Linked DNA regions of Pelodiscus sinensis. The protein of the gene in region 1 interacts with the protein of each later gene in a pairwise test. Links are inferred from orthologs where the notes say so. Each region holds a gene or a part of one and is shown on either strand. Other genes may lie near its edges. The genes, in order: ARL6IP1, SHMT2 and SNX15.

The links.
Region 2: the proteins of ARL6IP1 (region 1) and SHMT2 interact in binary tests that used the Homo sapiens proteins (3 or more experiments, as listed by UniProt). The two-hybrid records come from large-scale screens. The link is inferred for Pelodiscus sinensis from reciprocal best matches to the Homo sapiens genes ARL6IP1 and SHMT2.
Region 3: the proteins of ARL6IP1 (region 1) and SNX15 interact in binary tests that used the Homo sapiens proteins (3 or more experiments, as listed by UniProt). The two-hybrid records come from large-scale screens. The link is inferred for Pelodiscus sinensis from reciprocal best matches to the Homo sapiens genes ARL6IP1 and SNX15.

Annotation. Positions count from the first base shown.
Region 1 is NC_134726.1:20,312,728-20,316,472, forward strand, and holds the start of ARL6IP1 (ADP-ribosylation factor-like protein 6-interacting protein 1), read right to left. Parts: upstream 2,740-3,745; 5' UTR 2,587-2,739; coding exon 2,551-2,586; intron 1-2,550. UniProt on the Homo sapiens protein: Positively regulates SLC1A1/EAAC1-mediated glutamate transport by increasing its affinity for glutamate in a PKC activity-dependent manner.
Region 2 is NC_134729.1:3,133,817-3,137,561, reverse strand, and holds the start of SHMT2 (serine hydroxymethyltransferase, mitochondrial), read left to right. Parts: upstream 1-1,617; 5' UTR 1,618-1,735; coding exon 1,736-1,765; intron 1,766-3,745. UniProt on the Homo sapiens protein: Catalyzes the cleavage of serine to glycine accompanied with the production of 5,10-methylenetetrahydrofolate, an essential intermediate for purine biosynthesis.
Region 3 is NC_134721.1:34,790,238-34,793,982, forward strand, and holds the start of SNX15 (sorting nexin-15), read right to left. Parts: upstream 2,503-3,745; 5' UTR 2,422-2,502; coding exon 2,323-2,421; intron 2,231-2,322; exon of another isoform or gene 2,110-2,230; intron 1,755-2,109; coding exon 1,719-1,754; intron 1,236-1,718; coding exon 1,115-1,235; intron 303-1,114; coding exon 187-302; intron 1-186. UniProt on the Homo sapiens protein: May be involved in several stages of intracellular trafficking. Overexpression of SNX15 disrupts the normal trafficking of proteins from the plasma membrane to recycling endosomes or the TGN.

The DNA.
Region 1 (3,745 bases):
TGTCTCTGGCCCTTTTATCTCATCAATCCCCATAGCTGCACGTATTGCAGCAGACCAAAGCATGTGTCTCTTTCACTGATAAGATCTCAGCAACTCAAATTGTGCAGCTGAAAGCTAGGCTTAGTAAAAAAATAAATAAAAATCAGTGAGCTATGTGCCAGCATACAGTACTTAACTACACTGTCACTGCATACAACTAAACAAAACTTATCATACCAGTATGATTATTAGAAAGTCTTATTCACTATTAGAGCTCAAAACCAGCATGCACATTTTGCTTCCCATGCATTTTCTGAAATGTACATGAAGCATTTTTTAAAAGAGATTTTGGGATATCACTTTAAATAAGGTCCCTTATAACAGCATTTGAAAACCCTCTGCTCTTCTATAAACAATAATAAATGGGTTAAACACTGTGACAAAGTGGTAACTGTATCCACTGTTATGTCGCATGTGATTTCTACTATCCTACAATAAACCGTGTATGTGTTAAGGATGTTAAATTGCGTTTAATCCGCTAAACTGAGTAGTCGATGGAATTTCCACTAGGCTCTTGATACATTTAAGAGGCAAAGGCCCAGCATATGGGACCAAGTACAAGCAGGGATAGCTGAGTCCTGGCTTGCACCCGGTCCCCCGCTGCGCCTCTGCCTCTCCTGCCCTGCCCCCCCCCCCCCCCGAGATGTTGCTGGAGGGAGCCAGCTTTTAAACTATCTCCTTGCAGCACCAGCTCCTGCTCCCCACCTTTGCTGCGTGACTTGATTAGTGGCTTACATCCCTAGTGTGTGTGTGTCAGTTTCCCTGGGCACTGCTCCAATACCTAAAAAGAGATAGTGATGAGAATTTCCGTATCTCTTTCTTGCACACAATGACTGATGCTTTCTGTAACCTAAGCCTACGAAGGGCTGGGGGTGTAACCTGGTGACACCTTTTGCCAGGAAGCTGGACAAAGGCCAAGGCGGGGCTAACTGCAGGGTGGGGGTGGGCTTCCGAGTGGATGGGTTAGTCTCAGTGGTTTGAGGGTACAGGGGCCTTGGCTCTGAGCCTCCTGTCCCCAACTGGATTGTGCTGACTGCTTCTGGTTTAGGTGCTGACAAGTCTGTCCTAGGGATGTTAAAATGCATATAAGTAACTAACCGCTGACATTTTCAGCAGTTACACGTGAGGTGGCAGTTGGATCCCTGGGAGTCAGTGTGTGCAAGGAGCCTGCTTTCCCCACCCCATCCCTTCACTGCTGCCTCTGTATCAGCTCTCTGCATGTTCCAGAAGCCTGTGTGTAATCATGTACACGGTTACACTTTCACATCCCTAGTCTAAGATGTATCCCTGTCAAGTAATAAACCTTCTGTTCTATCTGCTGGCTAAGAATCATATTGGCCTGCAGCTGAGGGTGGCAGGACTCATGGTTAAGCCACCAGCCTTCAAGACTAGAGAATACCTCGGCAATGAGAATGTACACTGAAGTTACACTCAATCTGACTACTGTTTCAGCTCTCTTTTAAGAAGTGAATTCAAATGGTTTTTCCAGGTTTTTATTTTAGTTTGGACATTTGGCAGCACGTACATCTAGTGAGTCTCACTATTTCTTCCTATATTTTAAGGAAATAATTTCCTTCCTTCAATTTATTGGCTGTTCATTTGGAATTTTTAAAATAGCGTAAATTGAAGAGTCTTAAAATACAGGTAGAAAATATATTTCCAAACTACTTCTCAGTTTGGTTTAAAATTTCAACAGAATGGAAGTATATCCATCCTTTCCCTGTTCTGGTACCACCACCCATCAAGTCTTCACTTCTTCCATAGATATAGATATAAAATCCATCCCTTATTTCTGTCCTAACCAACTACCTAGCACCTTCTGCTGTCTACTTCACAAAAAGCTCCTCGCACCGAAATCCGCTGAAACAGGAAGAGGCCGAAGAAAAGGCCGCTAGGCTCTCGCTGAGAGATGACAAGAGCAGAAAACAACCCAGTACAGATTACGCAAATAGCGGTCTGATTTTACAACTGCATCCAGGGCTGGGCCACGCACAAATGACCCAAGCCTCGTGTGGCGTTTGTTTGGAAGCCGAGCTAACCCCAGCCCCCTTTCTTAGCGGGCAGTGGCCAACCCCACAAGCGTGTCAGAGGGCGAAGCCCTTCGGGTGCAGCGACCAATGGTGCCACGAGGGACTGCGGCAGTGGGGGCCGACAGGGGGCCCACCCGGCCTGCGGCTGCCCAACCCCTCCTGACCCAGTGTGCCGGGGGCAGATGTCTCCCTGCCACAGGCCCACAGGGCAGGCCCCGCCTCCCGGAAGCGGGCGAAAGGGGCAGGATTGGCTACGGGACCCCTTCGCTACGGGAGGCTGGAGGGGGTCAATTTTCGGTGCTCGCAGCGCCCGGCTGGCTGGGCGCGCTAAAGACGCGTGTAGGTAATGGGGGTGGGGAGAAGGAGACGCAGCCGCAGTGACTCCCTCGGTCCCTCCCCGGCGATTAGATGCTGGCGCACAGGGCCGCAGACGCTCACGTCCCCGCCACCGGCTGGCCGCCCGCCCGCAACACCCGCTCACCAGCTGGTTGGCGCTCCTGTTGTCTCCCTCAGCCATTTTGTACGCTGCAGCTGCGGCGACTGCGTCTAGTCGTGTGCTGCGCCCAGCCCTTCGCCGCAGCCCTCACACAGCGCAGCAGCCGCCCGGCCGCCTGCCCGCAGCCTTATAGACTCGGCTTCTGGAAGGGGCGGGGGAAACTGCTGGTCCCACCGCAACGCGGTGCCCGCCAATTTGATTGGCCGAATTAAGGGCTGGGTCAGGCCAATCGCAGAGCCCCCTCCTCGCCCAACGGCTACGGGAGCCTGCTGCCGTTGTTGTTTGAACACAGGCAACGGCCAATCAGATTCAGCCGAGAGCCGTTAACTGGTCGCTGGGCCTGTGACGTCAGCGTACAGCTTTTGCAGAAGGGAAAATGGGGGCGGGGCTTTCTCCTTTGGGGGGCGATGAGAAGCTCTCAGAGCTGCCTCCGTTTCCCAGCGGTGGGTGCGGGAATGACACCATCAGCGCCCACAGCTATGGGCTCCCCCATTCACAGCTGACAGGTTTTCCATCCAGGCATGGCAGCCTGGGCCATTAAACATCCGGTCAGCTGCTACCCTGCTGATCCCAGGGCCCCTGGGGGACACGGGTTGGCGGCTCCTTCCCAGAGCCTCACGCAGGCGTGTACCTTGTGTGGTTCACCCCCATTCCTGACCTTGCCGCAGCAGAGACCTTGGTACACGCCTGCCTCGAGAGCGCCAGCTTGCAGCGCCTGTTCCAGCTCCCCCAGAACCTCCTGCTGAGCGTCTGGCTGCCCTTGTCCCTGCATCTCTGTTTATACACACCCCAACCTCCTTGGGCCTGGCTCTGGCCTAGGCCCCCATCTATCACACGAGGAGGTGGCTGCTGGACGAGGGCATGCTCTGCAACTATGGGGCCTATTTCCACTCCTCCCTGATTGCACGTATCTTGGCAGAGATCCTCTTAACAGAGTCTGCTGGCTCCTAGGCAGTTCTGAGGAGCAGTGGGCACGGTCTGAGGTTCTCTGCTCAGCGTGCCCTTTGTTTTGAGCCTTTGACCTGCATCCCTGCCTCCAAAATGACTGATTTGTCATTAGTGTCCCAAGTGGTGCTGGGACCCTGCACCCATCCCACACCTAACCCCCTGCCACAGCCCAGAGTCCCTCCAATACCCAAACTCACTCCCTGAGCTTCCACCTCATTTTCCCCCCGCCCCC
Region 2 (3,745 bases), on another chromosome or scaffold:
GGCCCGTTGGCCTTCCACGGGCCAGACCCAGCCCTGCCCTCCAAGCTGGGTTTCCCAGCCACAGTCTCCACGCTGCAGCCACTGGCCGGGGTCCCAGCTCAACTCACTACCCAGGGGCACCGAGTCCTGCCCCTCTGCGTGCGACCCTTGAAAAACCCAGCAAGTGTCCCACTTGGCACAGTGGGGGAGTGGAGTCCAGTGGTTAGAGCAGCGAACCAGCCAACAGATTTCCTGGGTTCTAGTCCCCGATCTGCTCTGGAGGGCCGGGTGCATTTTTTAAGGGGGAATCGTCTTGGCTTGGACCTTGGGCACTAGGGTGCTGGATTTGGTGGGGGTGGAGGGCAGCATTCTCTGTCTCTTGTGTCTAAATAAGCTACACACCCTTTAACAGAGACCGGCCTTTCCCCGGCCTACCCACCTTTGCACCTCGACGTGCTTTGTACATATCACAACATCCTGTGATCAGCCCGCCCCCCGCCCACCGCTGAAATGCAGCCACCTCTGGAGTGGGCTGTGACAGCTGGTTAATAACCACCCAGCAGAGCTGCACAGAGATCCTTCACCCAGCCCTGAAAGGCAGCCACCTCTGGGGATGGGCGCTGTAGCTGGTTAGCAGTCTCACCGCAGTGGGATGGGTCACCCAGTTGGAGAATGCAGCTCCCTCTGGGGTGGAGCCCAGCAGTGGTTTAACGCCACACAGCAATGCTCTAGGAAGATTTTGAGGCAGAGGAACAGCACGCCGAGCGGACAACACGGAGCAACAGAAAGCAGCCTCCTTGCTGAACGTGTTCTCAGCTCTGTCATAGCTGCAAGCAGTCAGGGTGGCATTGTCTGCTCACTAGGGCACGCTGCCTCACTGAGCCCTGTGGACTAGGGGTGCCATGGGCTGCCCGCAGCATTTCTGCCCAACCTCTGCCAACACCCAGCAGCACCGCTGCAGGTTCTGCACCCCCTTTGCTGCCAGAGCCCTGCTGCCGTGGCTAGTGGATCCCACCAGCTCCCTATGAGCTGCCAGGTATCCAAGTGGAAGAGCGGTGTGTGTCGGAGTCTGCATGGAGGGGGGCAGTCCCTTGGATGCTGCATCACTGGAGGCCAGGCTGCGGCGATATCTGGGCCCAGAATCCCTGGGCTTGCCAACCTCTGGTCCTGGTTCAGACCTCCCTTCTAAGGGTAGGGCCTGTCTCTCACTGTGTCTCTGTGCACAGCAGCCCCTGTCCTCCCTGTGTGCACTCCCTTCATAACCAATCATCAAAACAACTGGGTGCAGGCGTGAGTGTTAATCCACCCCAGAGGTGGCTGCATTTCAGCCCTTGGTGAGTGACCCCCCGCCCAGGCTGTTAATCTGCTGCTGTGCTCATCCCCAGAGGTGGCTGCATTTCAGCCCTTGGTGAGTGACCCCCCCAGGCTGTTAATCTGCTGCTGTGCTCATCCCCAGAGGTGGCTGGAAGCCTCACTGGTGAGCAAGTCAGGCTGGAAGGCAAAGCCCCGGCCTGCGCCCTGTTCCCGTCAGTCACGCTGCGGCGGGTTTCCCGTTGTTTGCAAACATGCATATCAACTTATTAACCACTTTGCATAAACTATCAGGGGGGCGGAGCTCAGCCGCCGGGCCTAGGGAACTACATCCCCCAGCGTGCACCGGGAGTGGCGTCGGCGTCACGTGTTTCTTTCCCAGCGCGCGCGGGCCCCTTCTCCAGGCGAGCAGCGCCGGGGATCAGCTGTACCTGCCACCTGCAGCATGTTCCCGCGATGGGGCCGCCTGGCCGGGGTGAGCTCGTGCTGGGGAAGCGGGGGGATCCTGCTTGGGGGGGGGTGACTTTTGTTTTGCAAAGTAGCTTTACTGCCCCCCCAGGCCCACATGCGCCCCCCCATTTCAAACCACGTGCCCTGGTCGGGTCCCATACAAAGCCCCCTGCAAATAAGGGGGTGCTCCCCACTCTCTCTGCCCGCAGAGTCCTGGCCTTGGGGTTCATGGCCTTGTGCGTCCCGATGCTCTGTGGGAATCGCTGGTTCCTGGAGGGGGTCGGGGGGAGCTCACTGATAAGTGGGTCCCCTACTTGGCTCTCCTGCACGGTGTGTGCGTGCACCCGGCACTGCCAGCTGTGTGCATGGGGGGCAGCGCTCTGCCCGCCAGGACCCTGCTCCCCCAGACTGCCCTGCTGGCTTGCCTGGCTCTCAGACCTATGCCCCCTGCGGCCCGTTATCCCTCCTGGGCGCCGCACCAGTGTGTGCTTGGCACGAGTCCCGCTGGTCTCTGTCCCATCCCTCACCCTTCGATCTGAGTCAACAGCCCAGGGACCTCTGGCCTCCCCCGCCTAGGATGGGGGGAGGAGAACGAGAGAGACTAGGGGGGAAAGTGATGGGTTCCCCCCTCCCCCGACCCTTGCCAGAAGCTTAGTTCTACGGAGTTGGTACCAGCTCCCTGGTCCCGCAGAGGCAGAAGCTGCCCCCCCCCCCCCCTTTCCTGGCTTAAAACTTTCAGAAGTTTCTTTCACTGTGGCTTATTGTTTGGAGAAACTTGGCACATGGCTGGACTTTCACTGCTGCTGATGCAAGGATGGGTCCTCCTTGCATCATGGGTAGCCTGGCCGGGAGGCCTGGCTTTTGTGGCACAAGGGATGCAGCTGCGTTCAGAGCGGGCCGGGCAGCCCCACACCTGTCTGGGAACCAGGAGCAATCAGACAGCGACAGGGGAAGGGCGCCACGCAGGGCGTATTGCGTGGAATGTAAACTACTACAAAGTAAAGAGAGGTGGCTTGTTTTTAAGATTGGGCAGGGTAAGGAGCCGGCTTGGCTCATGTGAACGCAGGGGACTAAACGGAATATTTTTCTTTAGCCTAGTGAAGTTTGGAAGCTGGCTTACGTCAGTGTTCACTCGCAGGCCGGTACCCGAGAGCTGGGAACTCTGACACGCCATTGCTTTCGAATCTGGGCCCCAAACGTGGCTTTCCCCAAACTCTGGTCTCCTGCCACGCTGGGCCCAGGCAGCAAACGAGATTTTGGAAACCAGAGCTTGTCTTTCCAGCATGGGGACTACCCCGGCAGCAAACCGCTCCCTGGTGGGGTCTGTCCCGTTGGGGCTCAGAGAGACGTCCTCTTTTCCTTGGCTGCGTGGTCTGCCACGGCCGTGGGCTGTGTTGTGCGGGCGTCTGGGTTCCAGCCCCAGGACCCCGTACAAACACAGAGTGGAAACTCTGGCAGAGCTGATCCACTTGGCCGTAGCGGAGATACACACAAGGAGGGAGTGAGCTAGAGTCCCCCAAACAAGGGAGCGGAGAGGGTAGGGTTTGCACAGTGCCGGGTGAGTGGCAGAGTGGCACGGACATGTCTCTGCATGCCACGGCCATGCACGGCTCGGTGTGCTCTCCAGGGCACCTCTGTCTACACACCTCCCCACCCCACCCCAGTTCCATGGGGATCAACGCCCCAGCACAGGCCTCTTCTGTCCCCAGAGAGCTCCTGGCTGGCCCCTTGCAGTAGGAGTCTGAGGATCTGCTGCTGGGGTGTGCACCAGCAGCGAGGGGTGCTGTCTCCCAGCACCGTTTCAGGGGGAGTTTAGACACGTGCCCAGGGGAAAAGGGGGGCGGGGGAGCAAGCCCAGGGTGCAAACCAGCCTGGTGTGTCAATGAGGAGACGGCTGCACTGTGGAGGGGTGCTCGGGGGGCAGTGTGTGGTGGGGAGAGGACCCTGGATGGAAGCTGGGGGGGTAGAAGTCTGTCTCCTGGCACTTAGTGATCCCTGACACGTG
Region 3 (3,745 bases), on another chromosome or scaffold:
CAGAGGAGTCTCTGCTGTATGCTGGGGAGGTGAGGATCTCCTCAGCCCAAGCTTTTCAAGGGGTATGTAGAGCAACTGAGTGGGCCTGATGATGCTACCATGTGTGTGAGCAGCCTGATGCATCAGCAGTGGCCCCAGAGCACCTAGGGCCCTCTCAGCCCACCCAGCCCAGCCCTACTCACATACCCTGAAGAACTCCTTGAGTTGGGGGCTGTTGTTCAGTGCAGGGATGTGCACCGTGAATCTCAGCATGGCCTCAGCTGCTTTCCTGCGCTCCTCGATCACCTCGGGCTCAAAGCGGCCTGCGGGACAGAGCTCCTGTTGCACTGTGATGCAGCACCCATCTAGCCTCTCCAGGCAGACCAGCCACTCCCCCTCTAGCCCTATGGTACATTTCAGTTCTGCCACCCTTAAGCCTGGACATCCCACCACAATTCACTTCATGTGGTATGATCCACTATGCATCCCTTGTCCTGTGAATCTGGTGTGAGCCCCCTGCAGCATGTCCAGCAATGACTGCCTTTCCCCTGTGGGGACATCAGCTCTAATCTGTCCCCAGGGCAGGGGATTGGTTCCAGGTGGCAGGAAATGAGATATGGGACCTTTCCCAGCTCTGATCCAGTCCGAGATCCCAATAAATTAGACTCATTCCCATCTGCAGCTCATTTGGTGACCTGGGTGTGAAGCGTCTTGAAGGGTGGGTCTAACTGCCCCACACCAGCAGTCTCTGGGGGTGGGTTGGGGACTCAGACTGCTGTGTCTGGGTCAGGGGGAGGGGATGGCATCTGGGTATGTGGTAGGGGCAGTAAGAGAGTGCTGAGTCTGTGTGGGGACCTATGGGAAGTTGCAGGGTGCTGGGGGCATGAAAGGGAGCTGTTGGGGAAAGGGAAGAAGGGGACTGTGCAGAAGGCGCTGGATGTGTGGGTAGACATTATGGGATGCTGTGGAGCACTGTGAAGCAGAAAAGGCTATGCGGTAGGGGGGCTGTACTGTGGGGACGAGGGAGCTGACCATGGGGGAGGAATGAGGGAAGCGCTCTCTGCCACTGCTCCTGCTCTGGGAGTAACCAGAAGAGTCTGGCTGTTGAGCCCCCACCTCTCGGGAAGCCACTTACCGAAGACCTGGGCTTTGGGGAAGGCAGGGAACTCCTCCATGCGCCGGAAGAGATTGCGGTGGATGTAGGACAAGTCTCCATGCAGCTTCTTGAAGTCACTGTAACGTTTCCAGATTGTGATCTGAAGGACAAGAGCCCCCCAGGTGCCCCAGTTAACTAGCCACAGACATGCGCTGAGCCCACAGCTTCTACAGTCCCAGGGACCCTCCGCTTTTCCCCCAAACTGCAACCCTTCAGCTCAAACCTCCAAATCCAAATCTATGGACCCAGCTCCTTCCAGATAGAACTTCTACTTCAAACTCCTGGATTTCTGCCTTCCAAAGCCCCTGGAATTTCACCCCCAGATTTCAGTCACACGATCCCTGCCCCCACAACCTTTGCCATAGGACTCAAAGCCCCAAAACTGTCCCCAAAACTCAGCTCTATCAGACCTCAAGTTATGGGACTTTTCCCATCACTGCTGGGCAGCTGTGAGTGTGGGCTAGCCGGTAGTGGGGACCCCCCCCCCCCACACTCTACACTGAGGGATGGCTATGGATTTCATCCCACCCCTTCTTCGCACCCCTCCCCTGCACGAGCCATCAGACGGGTTTAAAACAGTCACCTCCTTGACATCTTCTGGTTTCGTCTTTGAAACAAACTAAGGAGGGAAGAGAGGAGGAGTCAGCAACTTCTGAGCCGGGAGGTGGCAGTGGGGAGGTTCAGGGCAAAGGAAGGGACCAGCAGGGCATGGGGCTATCAGGCTAGGAGGCGGGAAATGTGATGTCCACAGCGCGTGGGATGGGGAGGCAGGACACCCACCGGGGCCAGCCACGGGCGTGGGGGGCATTTAACGGGACGTGCCTTTGACCTGGGACATCCACGTGCCTCGGCACCGTCCCACGTGGGTTTCCCGGGACCCAGGGCTCCCCCTGCAGGACGCTTCCGTCTTAAAAGGGCCACACCTACGACGCCCCAAAACGGAGCCTCGGAGGGGACCACTCGCAACTTCCCACCTCTTAAAGCGGCTACGCAGTGTCCCTCACCCTGGAAAGTATCGGGAACAAGTCCCACCCCGCCTGCACGCGCCGTGCGCCCTCCTTAAGGTGGGCGAGCGAGGCGCCCTCCTTCCATGGGGCATCGGCAGCCCCAGCTGCCCAGGAGGGGCCCTTCACCTTAAAGGGGCCGCGCACAGCTCCCTGGGGAAGGTCCCAGGCGCTGCCCCTCACCTTGGCTGTCACTTTGTACTCAGTGTGGCCCTTGGGGTGGCTCCTCGGCTCCGTGACCGTGTAATAACGCTGGTACTCATCCTTCACCCTGCAGGCCATCTCCCTCCGCACACTGAGGCTGCGGCCCCTTTAAATCTTGAGCCCGCCCCTCTCCAGCCCCTAACAGCCCCAAGCAGCAGTGACCGCCGCCAGGGAGCGTGGGTTTGCCGAACAGCCAGTACGCATGCGTGGCCGGGCCTCCTTGCCCTGTCCCAGCCCAGGGAGCGTGTGTAAAGTACAAAACTGCAGGCGAGCTGAAGAGTGAAGGGCTCCTCTGGAGAGTGAGCCCTTCTTAGAGGCAGGGTAAGCAAGGAGTCAAGCCCAGGTGTACAGGGAGGAAGACTGGAGGGCCAAAGGGTAATTGGGCGGAGGTGAGGTAAAGGGAGCAGGTTACAACTGTGGCTCTCAATCAGTCAAGTCAACCAGTGTTATGCATACCCCTGGGATACACACAGGACTTACAGCGAATACATCAACTCATCTGAATATCTGACAACTTTTACAAGAGGCAGCAGGAAAAACACTAGCTAAGTCAGTACAAGCTAAAATGTCATAAAGCTTGTTTATGCTGCTCTGTATGCTTCACACTGAAATGCAAGTACAGTATTTATAGTCCAGTGGATTTATTTTATGATTATATGGTAAAAATGAAAAGCAAGAAGTTTTTCAGTAATAAATGCAAATGCTGGGACATTTCTGTATTTTATGCCTGATAAAAGATTTACTCAGCGTTGCTTGGGTCCTTAACTCAAATAAGTTTTGTTTTTCTTCTTTTAAATCATTGTTCTGGGGTGGGGCTGGGGATGAGGAATTCAGTATGCAGGCTGCCCTGAGGAGAGTAGACAACCCCAGACCACTCTTACCGTAGCGGTTTGGGGCCAGGTGAGATGCACCTGTCCATGGCTGCTGCAGCTGTAGTGGGCACAGCCATGGTGTGGTGGTGTGCATATCTCCCAGCTGGGGAACAGACAAACACTAAAATATATAAAAGGTGACCCTTTCTCCATCCTTGCTATCTGCTGGCCCAATGCAGTTATAGCTCTCCTAGTCTCCACCTCTGCCCCCCGTCCCCCGTAGTCATTTTGCATTATAACTCCCTCCTGCCAAACCCCACCCTTTCCATTTTATGAGAAAATCAAATCCATGCACACCCCATTATCCTGGCTCAACCCAACCCTGACCTTGCTTTAAGTTATGATAAGAGGAAGCTGCATACCAAATCTGGTGGTTCTAGCGCTTACTGTTCAGGAGGAGGTCTTGAACAAACGGATAGACATTACTAAAATATCTAGTAAGATTTTGTAAGTAAGTAGTTTAAGTGAGTTTAAACTTGGGGTAACAAGACAAATCAGATGTCTGCAAGGGGTCACAAGAGGCTATATGA